Linked DNA regions of Arabidopsis thaliana. The main gene of each other region encodes a partner of the protein of the gene in region 3 in a complex. Each region holds a gene or a part of one and is shown on either strand. Other genes may lie near its edges. A codon is read from its position in the direction of its gene.

Region 1 (3,754 bases), on a different chromosome or scaffold from region 3:
CCTAACGATATGTATGTATTTGCTATTATGGATAAGATGGTTATTATGAATGTGTTGTTAGAAGTTAAAGCATGTTAGGTTGGTTGCTTGTATCTAAGTTTATATGTTATGATGATGGTTGTATACCTTTAGAAAATGTTCTATGTTTCAGTGGGCAGAGCGTATTCCTCTCACCGAGTATTCTTTACTCACCCCCTTATTCATTTTTTCTTCAGATTAGTAAGAGTGAGGAAGTTATGTGTAATATTTTGTTCGTGTTTGACGTTTAAAGAAAACGTTTTGGTAAAATCAAATGAAAAACATGTCATCTTAATCTATATGACAGGTCGGGTGTTACAAATTAGGTTAACCATTTAAGGTTAGACCAAATTAAAACTAAGCATTTAATGCGTCAACCTTCAAATTTCGTTGAATACAAACCTCAACTTTCTTCGATGAAATATATACCCAACTTTTATTGACTTATCAATTTAATCGCTAACTTATGTTGACTTCACGAAATCGTTAAGTCGCGTACTACAAGAAAAAATAGACATTTTAACTCAAGATAAACGCTATTGTATGTGTTTAATAGCGTTTTCATAAACTTTGATGGATTAACGAGTTACTAGAATAATCTGAATATAAGAACCGAGTGCTTTTGGTTTTTTTTTTATTAGTTAGTTTTTTTTATGGTTTTTAATTGGTTTAGTCTATCCGAGTGGAATTGTTTTCTTTTTAATTAGGTTTTTGGTATGTCTTTATAAACACTATTTATGCAAACACTGGGAAAGTGTGCTTATTTCTAACCAACTCAGTTAAATGCGGAACTTGGAGGAAAAAATCCGAATTAGAACCAATCTGGCTGACATCATATCCATTGATGAGGTAAAGACAAGAAATAAAATTGATAAGACAAATTTGGGAACAATTAAGGGGAAGATGGATATCAATTTGAATCCTAATGACAAAGACATGATAGCTTTTACATGGACCCATGTTTCTGGATTGAGACATATTAATTTGGCAACAAATAATAAGGACAAAGACTTGAGATGATCAAAATGATAATGACAATATAATGATTGTCGCTAAGTAAAATTTAATTAAAAGGCTGTGACTGGTTAAACATATAGAATAAATGGAAAAATAGAATAATCACATCAGGAAGAAAAATAATTTTTATTTGCTTTGAAGATGGAAGAATTCATGTGATTTAGTTACTTTTTGATATTTTTCGAAGAAACAATTTTCTTCCAATTTCTTTTGTTGGACTAATACATGTAATTTTTTCCCTTTCTTTTTGTTTTCTTCTATTAAAGTCAACTAGTCACACGACTCACACCCTCAATGATATGACAAGTATGTGTCATGTGGATTAGTTAGTGTGGAAGCAAGTCTTTTAACATCCAATGTTTTCTCAATTCTTACCTAACACGGTAACACCTTTTTTTTTCCACAACACATGGTACTAACCGGTTGACTATTCCCTGGTACTGCGGTTGAGGCTGAGGCAATGGCTGTTGAACCATCATGCCTTCTCCAGCCACCGTATAGTACACATGCGGCTTCCCATCTGCGAATACGGTTCTTGTAACCCCATTGGAGCTGGACCAACACTAGTGTATATATACCATTAAGTAATTTGAAGAAATATATAAAATATTAATCAAAACGCGTAAAAAGAGTAAAGTGATCTTTGATGATTAGATCTACAAATCGACGTCAAAAGGAAAAAAAAAAAAAAAGCTACAAAATAAACATTGAAAAAGTTCGAGTCCCTAATCCCTATATAGTTTATACACATATCAACACCAAATAATCACAAGAAAAAAAAATTATAAACAAGGTTGCATATGGGATCGTTTTTCTTTCCCAATTAGTTAAATTAGATAGAGATAGCGACCAAAAAAAACAAGATTAGAGGTATTAATCCAAATAGGATTTAGCTAACTTTAAACAATTACACTCCCAAAGTGATTGAACCCGTATGGCCGTATTAGGGAATATCGTAATTTAGAGTTTGTCTAGATAATCGAATTCGAAAAAAAACTACTAAATCGATCTGTTTGATAATAAGTGAAAAACTGATACGTAACCATAAGATCCATACATTCTCTGAAATCTATTACAAAGCTATTACATGTGTTACCGCAGAAACAAAACTTTAAAACACTAAACGACAAAACGTATGTTATTGGAAGTTGCTAAGAAACTTCGTCTTCTTCGCTATTTTCTAATCTAAAAACGTATCAACCCTTATTACCACTCAACCATCTCACTTTCTTTTTTCTGTCTTACACTCCAAGATCGGTCTCGATGGCTTCGTTCATAGATCTTTTCGCCGGCGACATCACGACGCAACTCTTAAAGCTGCTCGCTCTAGTAGCTAACACAGTCTACAGTTGCAAAGGAATCGCCGAACGACTGATCACGATGATCAGAGACGTTCAACCAACGATCAGGGAGATCCAATACAGTGGCGCGGAGCTGAGTAACCATCACCAAACTCAACTGGGAGTATTCTATGAGATCTTGGAGAAAGCAAGAAAGCTATGTGAAAAGGTTTTAAGATGCAATAGGTGGAACCTTAAACATGTGTACCACGCGAATAAGATGAAGGATCTCGAGAAACAAATATCTCGTTTCCTCAACAGCCAGATTTTGCTCTTTGTTCTTGCTGAGGTATGTCATCTACGGGTCAATGGTGACAGGATTGAGAGGAATATGGATAGACTGTTGACTGAGCGGAATGATTCTTTGTCGTTTCCGGAGACTATGATGGAGATTGAGACGGTAAGCGATCCGGAGATTCAGACGGTATTGGAATTGGGGAAGAAAAAGGTGAAGGAGATGATGTTTAAGTTTACGGATACACATTTGTTTGGGATCTCTGGAATGAGCGGTTCAGGGAAAACCACTCTTGCAATAGAGCTTTCAAAGGACGATGATGTTCGAGGTTTGTGAAGTTTTATTGAATTTTGTTTTGTGTTGATGGTCATGAGTTCTAATCAAGATTTTTGTGCAGGACTCTTTAAGAATAAGGTTTTGTTTTTGACTGTGTCACGGTCTCCGAATTTTGAGAATTTGGAGTCTTGTATACGAGAATTTCTTTATGATGGAGTTCATCAACGGAAGCTAGTGATTCTTGATGATGTTTGGACAAGGGAGTCCTTGGACAGGCTGATGTCTAAAATTCGTGGAAGCACTACTTTAGTAGTGTCACGGTCCAAGCTTGCAGATCCTAGAACCACCTACAATGTGGAATTATTAAAGAAAGATGAAGCAATGTCTCTTTTGTGTCTCTGTGCTTTCGAACAAAAGTCCCCGCCTTCTCCATTCAACAAATATTTGGTGAAGCAGGTACTAATGCCTTTTTATAAATATTTGAATCTGTAACTAAAAACACACTTTGCTTCCAAATACTAAAATTGTTACTCTGTTTGGTAGGTTGTTGATGAGTGTAAAGGTTTACCTTTATCTTTGAAAGTTCTTGGTGCTTCGTTAAAAAACAAACCTGAAAGATATTGGGAAGGCGTAGTGAAGAGGTTATTAAGAGGAGAAGCTGCTGATGAAACTCATGAGAGCAGAGTGTTTGCTCATATGGAAGAAAGTCTAGAAAACCTCGACCCGAAAATCCGAGACTGTTTCTTGGATATGGGTGCTTTCCCTGAAGACAAGAAGATCCCTCTTGATCTTCTCACGAGCGTGTGGGTTGAGAGGCATGATATTGACGAGGAAACTGCGTTTTCCTTTGTTCTTCGTTTAGCTGACA
Region 2 (3,754 bases), 1.7 Mb from region 3:
ACTGTCTGCCTCTTGTGCTCTGCAGAAAAAGGAAACACTCTGAAGGGTTTAAATGATTGCAAGAATGGAGCTATGGAGCTGCACAGTATGAAAAGAGAGAGAGAGAGAGACTTACCACTCCAAGGTCATTGAGCGTAGACTCTATTGAGTTTTCTCCATCCAAATGATTAAACAACTTCTTTCCCATCGACTGTACCAGTTCCTCATAGCTATGATGATCTCTGATACTTCGAAATGGAATTAGAGACCATTCTTGTTCATCGCTGGCTTGAGAAGTGTAAAACAGCATTTGAAGAATGGCGTCCGAGTTGTTCACTGCAACCAATCTCTTCTCTGTAGAGAAAACAAAAGTACCGGCGGGTCTATAAGGACTTAGCTCAAGGAAACTAGAAAGGGTCTCTAAAAACGCCTCTGCGCTTCCAGTCAATTCACAAACAGCTTGGTTTGCAACAGTTGATGTGTCTCGCATCACCCTTGTGTAAAACTCTGTTATTCTCTGTTCACTCTCTTGGACGGAAGACTTTCTGGGATCCAATTGGGCAAGAACATGAGGCAAAGTTTCCTCTACAGACGCCTTTCGAGCAAGCATAATCCGAGGGACAATATCGAATCTTGAGACAAAGTTCACAAAGAACCGGCTCCATTTTTCTCTCCCAAGTGCGTGACTGAAGATAGAGTCACCAACCAAAGGAGCTCCAAATGTCACACAACGAGGCTCAAGGTAAACATTTGGATTGCGTATGAAGTATTTCTCCAAATACCAAACTGTTGCTAAGATTGCAGTTGCACCTCCTGAGGAATGTCCTGTGAACACTATCTGTTTTCTACTCCTCACAGCCATTTCCACCTGAAGAAGTAAAAGCATAAGAGACCAAAAAAGAAAAAAAAAGAAAAATATATTCGGATGTTTTCAATCTTCTTACAGAAGCTTGAAATGAGGTTCTTGGATCAATGATAGCTTCAAGATTCTTGAGGAAAGCTTCGTTAACAGTAGCTACATCACCTTTACCGATTTTCCTCATACAAGGAAACTGAACACGGTTCAACTTGATTTCTCCAAAGGAAGATTTATTGTCCGGATCGAAGAAATCTTTCTCTGAGAAAGATGGTTGGAAAGCGAAGATTACGACTGCTCCTGCTTCTTCCTTGTGATAGCGCTCGGTTAGGTAAGCTTGCTTCGAGGCTGACCATGATCTGGTGATTAGATCACCATTGATTCCGGTAAGAGCTTCAAACGCCATTGATCTATATCTATTCTCTTTTCTTTAGTGGACTTTCTTCTCTCTTTTTTCTTTTGAATCGTCTTGCTTCTTTAATCCGCTCCTACTCTGTTAATTTATGGGAAGATGTAGACAGGACTAATTAGTTACCCAAAATACCCCATCATGAGACCATTTCAATGCAAAAATGGGTTTTTTTTTTTGGAGTTGACTCTTTGGCTATTGGAGACTCATGAAGAAAGAAAAGCTAGGAATCTTAGCTTTCCACGTGTCGGTTTTACATTGGTGTATGGCTTTGTACATCCGACATGACTGGAGTTTCGCAGAAACTTTCATAAACATTCACATTTGGTCGGAAAGTTTTCTCTGTGTAATCTTTGCTTGGAAATTTTGTAGCTTGACTTTGGAGTCTTCGTCTCTTTAATATAGACTCCATCTTTTGGTTTGAGATGTCACTCTCGGTTGGGATTTCGCAGTAACTCAATGATATTCACTTTTTTGTCGGAAAACAATTTTGTTGTTTAATGAATGAGGAGATTTGTTCGCTTGGAGTTAAGTTTTTGTAGCTTGACTTGGGTTTTCAGATTTGGTCTCGTATAGAAGAAATCTACTACTTTAACTCTGTTTTGCTTATAAATCTTATCCGGAAAGTAAACCGGATAATCTACAAGATATGGAACCGGTTCGATTTCTCTCAGCTGAATATTAACCGAATTAACTAACTACACCTTCTTGCCTGGTCCGTTTTTGCGTTCGGCAAGACGCGTCACATTCGACTTTTACTTGTTTGATTATGAAGTTACATGAACCGGACTAGAAAAATTTAGTTTGTTTTTTTGGCTAAACCAAATTGCATAACCATATTTTGCTTTCAGATAGAATGAAAAAGCCTAGGAGACTAAATTAACAAAAGAAACAAAAAAAAGTCTAGGAGACTAGAATTTTCTTGGTCTTAATAAAACCCAACTTGGGGAAATTTCTACGAAAAGCCATGTAAAGTGTTCCAACCAACGCTTAAAATAACTAACTTATCTCGCTGGATTCGATTCATGTAGACAGCTTTATTTTAATTAGACAAAAGATTAGCTTGTCTTCGTGTAATGAACGGTACTAAACTACTAATCCATTCCTAAATCATTATTTAAGTAATCTTAACAAAAGAAATTCATATGTTAACTTCCAAAATAACACACCACCATTTTACATATCTCTCATGTAAAGAAAAAAAAAATGTATCTCTTCTCCTCTCTAATGAATCCAAGTCTACAATTTACATTTCTATCTTATAAAAACCCATCTTTGTCACTCTTGATCAGTCTTGGTTCTATCAGCAAAAGAAGCCGTAATGTCTCAAAAATTGTAAGCCGAAAGAATCAGGACATGCATGTGTGTGAATCTTTGAGCTTTTAAAGAACATATCGTACGTGGAATCTGATAAACTCAGATCTTTGCGCGTTTTAGCTGCGAGTAGATATCATTAGCTTCAAGCTCTCTCTTGTGCATAATATTCTTAAAAGCTCTTTCCTCAGCTTTCATTAAAGAATCTCTTAATCTCTTCACATCAGCTAATTTCACAGGCTTCAATAAGAAATCTTCAGCTCCTTCTTCAAGACATCTGAATAAATATAAGGAACCAAATGTTAGTGATCTAATTCCATAAAGTTTATAACTTTGGATACAGAAAATGGCCAGCTCATATATGATAATCATTAAACTTAATCTGGTAAAGAGGGTTTGGTTCCTTAGTAATAAGCAAAGGCATGTGAGGTGTCTATCACGAGGATTGGGATTTTATAAATGACCCTACCTAAGATTATGCAACCCAAACAATTAAAACATATATTATAAAGTTTTGGAGGGCCTAACATGTCACCGGCTTATATAGAATCAAATCTCAAGAGAAGATCTTGCTTAACTTATGATGGATTATTCTTTTCTAAATTTATGGCCACAAGATAAATTTTATTATTCCTAAGATCCATTTTAAAAATCATTTTAGGACCCACTAAAATAAACACCAAATCTCAGCTTGATCAAATATACAACCACCACCAAAGTTAACCCCATGATAGTTAAAAAGTAATCATATAATAACCTTTTCTATCATAACAAAATCTTGTGATTATACAACAATTTAATTTAGTCAATACATATCCTTTAACGGTAACTTTATCACAAATCCTAAATTAGTGTGATTACTTTAAAAAGTTTCCTAAACAAACAATACCCTCTAAATCTAATCATCCCCATCTCCTGAAGTAATAAATGCACAAAATCTACTATATTTGGTAAATTTTGGTCCTACATAATCTTGACCTAAACAAGAATTAAGGATCATAGTTAAGATTATTATAGTAGAATATACCTATCGATACGAGGCAAGATGTTCTCTGAAGACATAATCACAACTGGTATTTCTCTGAAAGCTGATGATTCCTGTTAAAAAGTTCAAAATCCATAAACAAGATTAGATCAAAACTTCATTTTTTTTTAAATTTTTTTTCGTCAAATCAGAACTTCATTTTAATTTTGTG
Region 3 (3,754 bases):
AATTTTAGTTGGTTTAATTCAATTTTACAAAACTTGATGGGTTAATTGGGTAAACCATTGAAACCATTAATCATTACAACCCAACTCATTTTACTCATCAAACCAATTGACTCATCAACTCATTTGACCCATCAACTCATTTGAGTCAAAATTTTCAACTCATTAGGGTTTATGGGTTGAGTTGAGTTGACCAATAAATTTTGACCCATTGACACCCCTACACATATCAAATAATTTTAACCTATCTAAATTTTTTTTATAAAAATTACTAACTAACATGTCACGAGTTCACGACACATATCAATAAAAATATTAGATGTCTTCATGTATTAAGTCTAAATTTGTTAATACATTTACTGAGAAAATGAAAAAGTTAATAACTCTATATGAAAAAGGAGGTTATATATAAGTAAAAAAGAAATTTGATAATAAATTAAGAAAAAAAAAAACACAATTTGTAACTATATTAGAAAAAAGGTAAAAGTTCCTTATCCTAACAAAAAAGAAATTGTTGATATATTGAACTATTTATCTAATTCTATTGATTGTTTTTTTCCATATATATATTCCCAAGAAAATAAAATAGGGATCCTTTCAATTATATTTACAATTATATAAAAAGTTTGTATTAATTAACCAATAGACGGATAAAAAGTTGGGCCATAGTTTAACAAACAAACTATCTTTATCCAATGAGAAGCCCAAACCGGCCCATTTTAAACATCCTAGTAAAACCCATCTCCCGATCTTAAACCATCGGTTGATACCACCGACACGCGAACAAGACGACGACGCAGCGATGGGAAAAACTTCGGGAGCGAAACAGGCGACTGTGGTGGTCGCAGCGATGGCGTTAGGATGGTTAGCCATAGAGATCGCTTTCAAGCCTTTCCTCGATAAATTCCGCTCCTCAATCGACAAATCTGACCCAACCAAAGACCCCGATGACTTCGACACCGCCGCTACTGCAACCACATCCAAAGAGGGTTTGTAAAATTAGGGTTTTATCAGATTAAAGAGATTTACTGATTTCAATCCATTTCATGTAACTGATGAATCCATGTGTTCTTAATCATAACAGTTTGAGCAATTTCTTTTGAGTCATGATCGTTTATTTGTCATCAATTTTTGGAAAAGTCTGCTATATTGAATCTGTTATTGTAGTTCAATCGCATAACAGAATCATTAATCTAATCAATATTCATACATGATTTGTTACACCGTTTTTCGTATTTTGTATAAAGTTTCGAGCTGTATTATTAAGGTGGAAGAAGAGATTAGGAATCCGATAAGTACTTAAATTGTTTTAAGTTATGATTCGATTATACGTATCTCTTGAAAAGAAGCATGTTAGAGCAAAATATCAAACTTGACAATTACAAGATTGCTTTATAGATAAAGCAGATTAGCTAAATAAGTATAGGGAGACGATAACATGTGGTGATACAAAGATGTGTCAGATTGATTGTTTAACATCATTTAGTTGAGAAAACTTTGGACGACGACTGACTTCATCATATGAGAAAACACCAAGAAAATGTACTACTAGTCTCTAATGGAGAGACTTGGTTATAGAAGTTCATTGTTTAATTTGAATATTTACTCCAATTCAGGAAAATATCAAAACCAGAAAATTACATGAAAATTACTATAGATGGTAGCTTTGCAATGATTATTGTCCGGTTGGATAGTTTCATTGACATTTAGGATTCAGATTATCTCTTTTATCATTATCAGTTTGTTAAGGCAAGAGTTTTCTAATACATGCTTAAGTCCTAATCATCAGATATTTCTTCTTCAAACCTTTTTTGTTTTGTTTTGATAATTTGCCCCATTTTGTACTCTAGGTTTTTCCACAAAGATCCCAAACAGAGATTAAAAGATGACAATGGCATGGACCTTTCAATGCTTTGTTTTTTTGTTAAATTAGATATAAACCTTTCCAAACAGTAAATTATCAAATTCATTAACAAGTATCTATATCTCTCTAGTAGAGGTAGACCACAACTTAAAAATCTCCTCAAGTCATGGTGGGTCTAACTTGTAGGACTTATATGGGCCAAATTGTATAACTATATCATGTTAAGCTGAAACTGAAAGTAATTGGTTCCTTTTAAAAGCTTAGCCAAAAAAACTTCAAAATGTCTGAGTCAAATGTAGGTTGATTTCTCTGCAATTTCCATGAAAGATAGATAGATAAACTCTTACCAAAGTTTCTGCATATCAAAAGTTGTCAATTTATGCTCAAGTCTAAACCATTCCGATTACATAGGATCACATGCTTTGATTCGCATTTTCTTCTACTATATATTTACATATTTTTTTGTCCTCTACACACAATGATTAAAAAATGAGAATGGACCTACCTTTCACAGCATTTCTTTATTATTATTTTATAAAACCAGTACAATTTTACTAAATTATGATGTTAAAGTAAGAGACTTTGAAGAAGACGACTTAGCAAAGACCAAAACCAAGAAATTACATAGGAACAAGCCAAGAAGATACATAGATAATTTCTTTTTGCTTGTAATATATTTACAACTTCATAAACATCATCGTTCTGCAACTCTCTACTCGATATCCAATCATGGACGATTGTCGATTCGAGACGAGTGAGTTGCAAGCTTCGGTAATGATATCGACTCCTTTATTTACCGATTCTTGGAGTTCATGCAACACCGCAAATTGCAACGGGAGTATAAAGATCCATGACATCGCCGGGATTACATACGTTGCTATACCGGCGGTATCGATGATTCAGTTGGGGAATCTTGTGGGCTTGCCAGTCACCGGAGATGTTCTTTTCCCCGGCTTATCCTCCGATGAACCTCTACCTATGGTCGACGCTGCCATACTCAAACTCTTTCTTCAGTTAAAGGTTTGTTTTCTCTTCCTCTGTTTTTTTTTCTTTCTATTGGATGCAATTTAACCTATTTATTATCTTCAAGGCATGTGGATATTTGAATTTCAATTAATAATACCTCGAGAGAAAAATACAAAAATCATTAAATGCTAATATGGGAAATTATTTCACAAAGGATTTTAAAAAAAAACAAAATTCTATCATAAGTTTTATTCGTTTGGATTTGCGAAAACGAATTTTACCTATTAAAGTTACTATTTTTTTTACGTATTTTAGTACTTTTTAGTAGAACTGATGATCATTACTATTTTTTATTTAAATATCTCTGTCCTCTGAATTTTGATGAATTATAATCCAAATGGAGGTTTTTTTTGTCCTTTTAAAAGATTATTATAAACTATCACCACCACCTACCCCAATAGGCAATAGACAATAGATAATAAATAAAAATTATTTTCTTGTAAGAAATTCTAAAAAGATTCGTGGACACAATTATTCCAAATCCACCATTTGGAATATGTCATTGTCGCGACCTTTGGATATCATAAGCAAGTCAATTGAAAGTTTGGTTTGTATGCCATCACGTCCGTCCGCCCAAGTGATTTAAAAAATTTACTAATTAGTGAGTGAAACGTCATTGGTATTTTTGACACCAAAAAAAACAAAAAATGTTAATGGAATTGGTAGCTTTACGCTTTATGCTTTAACACACCTCGGCGAAGTTTATAAATGTGCGCTCAAAAAGTTTTTAACCCATGATTATTGTGTCACCATCATGTATTTTATTCCCTTTTTCGTCGAATACTTTTAGTTTTTGTTTTGTCTCTAAGGATATGAAAATCTTGAACAAAAACAAGTTCCTATTGGTTTTGATGAGTAGAAAAAACA

What was found.
Region 1: the proteins of PAD4 (region 3) and ADR1 are in contact, whole or in part, in a cryo-EM structure (PDB 8ZW9), measured with the Arabidopsis thaliana proteins. Residues at the interface, in NP_190811.1 of Arabidopsis thaliana: Glu316, Trp319, Tyr320, Arg323, Arg339, Tyr340, Ser341, Leu342, Lys343, Arg344, Phe346, Lys347, Val348, Met350, Ile353, Arg354, Lys357, Asn403; in NP_174620.2 of Arabidopsis thaliana: Met562, Arg586, Phe609, His637, Asp639, Asn660, Pro662, Arg663, Ala684, Pro686, Glu687, Gln708, Val710, Val782, Trp784, Leu785, Asp786, Asp787.
Region 2: the proteins of PAD4 (region 3) and EDS1 are in contact, whole or in part, in a cryo-EM structure (PDB 8ZWA), measured with the Arabidopsis thaliana proteins. Residues at the interface, in NP_190811.1 of Arabidopsis thaliana: Arg5 (codon at 2,603), Phe6 (codon at 2,606), Thr8 (codon at 2,612), Glu10 (codon at 2,618), Leu11 (codon at 2,621), Gln12 (codon at 2,624), Ser14 (codon at 2,630), Val15 (codon at 2,633), Met16 (codon at 2,636), Ser18 (codon at 2,642), Thr19 (codon at 2,645), Pro20 (codon at 2,648), Leu21 (codon at 2,651), Leu111, Val112, Arg141, Val142, Phe143, His168, Asn169, Thr193, Ser240, His241, Phe243, Leu244, Lys245, Ser246, Arg247, Ser248, Phe249; in NP_190392.1 of Arabidopsis thaliana: Arg196 (codon at 580), Met233 (codon at 469), Arg234 (codon at 466), Ser237 (codon at 457), Thr238 (codon at 454), Asn241 (codon at 445), Gln242 (codon at 442), Val244 (codon at 436), Cys245 (codon at 433), Gly249 (codon at 421), Ser250 (codon at 418), Ala251 (codon at 415), Glu252 (codon at 412), Ala253 (codon at 409), Phe254 (codon at 406), Leu255 (codon at 403), Glu256 (codon at 400), Thr257 (codon at 397), Leu258 (codon at 394), Ser260 (codon at 388), Phe261 (codon at 385), Leu262 (codon at 382), Phe295 (codon at 283), Gln299 (codon at 271), Ala300 (codon at 268), Ser301 (codon at 265), Ser351, Thr352, Arg353, Arg355.

Annotation. Positions count from the first base shown.
Region 1 is NC_003070.9:12,166,794-12,170,547, forward strand, and holds the start of ADR1 (Disease resistance protein (CC-NBS-LRR class) family), read left to right. Parts: upstream 1-1,974; 5' UTR 1,975-2,298; coding exon 2,299-2,938; intron 2,939-3,007; coding exon 3,008-3,342; intron 3,343-3,429; coding exon 3,430-3,754.
Region 2 is NC_003074.8:17,756,452-17,760,205, forward strand, and holds the start of EDS1 (alpha/beta-Hydrolases superfamily protein), read right to left. Parts: upstream 1,697-3,754; 5' UTR 1,242-1,696; coding exon 924-1,241; intron 848-923; coding exon 116-847; intron 20-115; coding exon 1-19. Other genes in the region: RR5 (response regulator 5), read right to left, coding at 2,661-2,835, 3,586-3,656. UniProt on the Arabidopsis thaliana protein: Positive regulator of basal resistance and of effector-triggered immunity specifically mediated by TIR-NB-LRR (TNL) resistance proteins.
Region 3 is NC_003074.8:19,428,976-19,432,729, forward strand, and holds the start of PAD4 (alpha/beta-Hydrolases superfamily protein), read left to right. Parts: upstream 1-2,119; 5' UTR 2,120-2,590; coding exon 2,591-2,881; intron 2,882-3,754. Other genes in the region: OEP7 (outer envelope membrane protein 7), read left to right, coding at 800-994.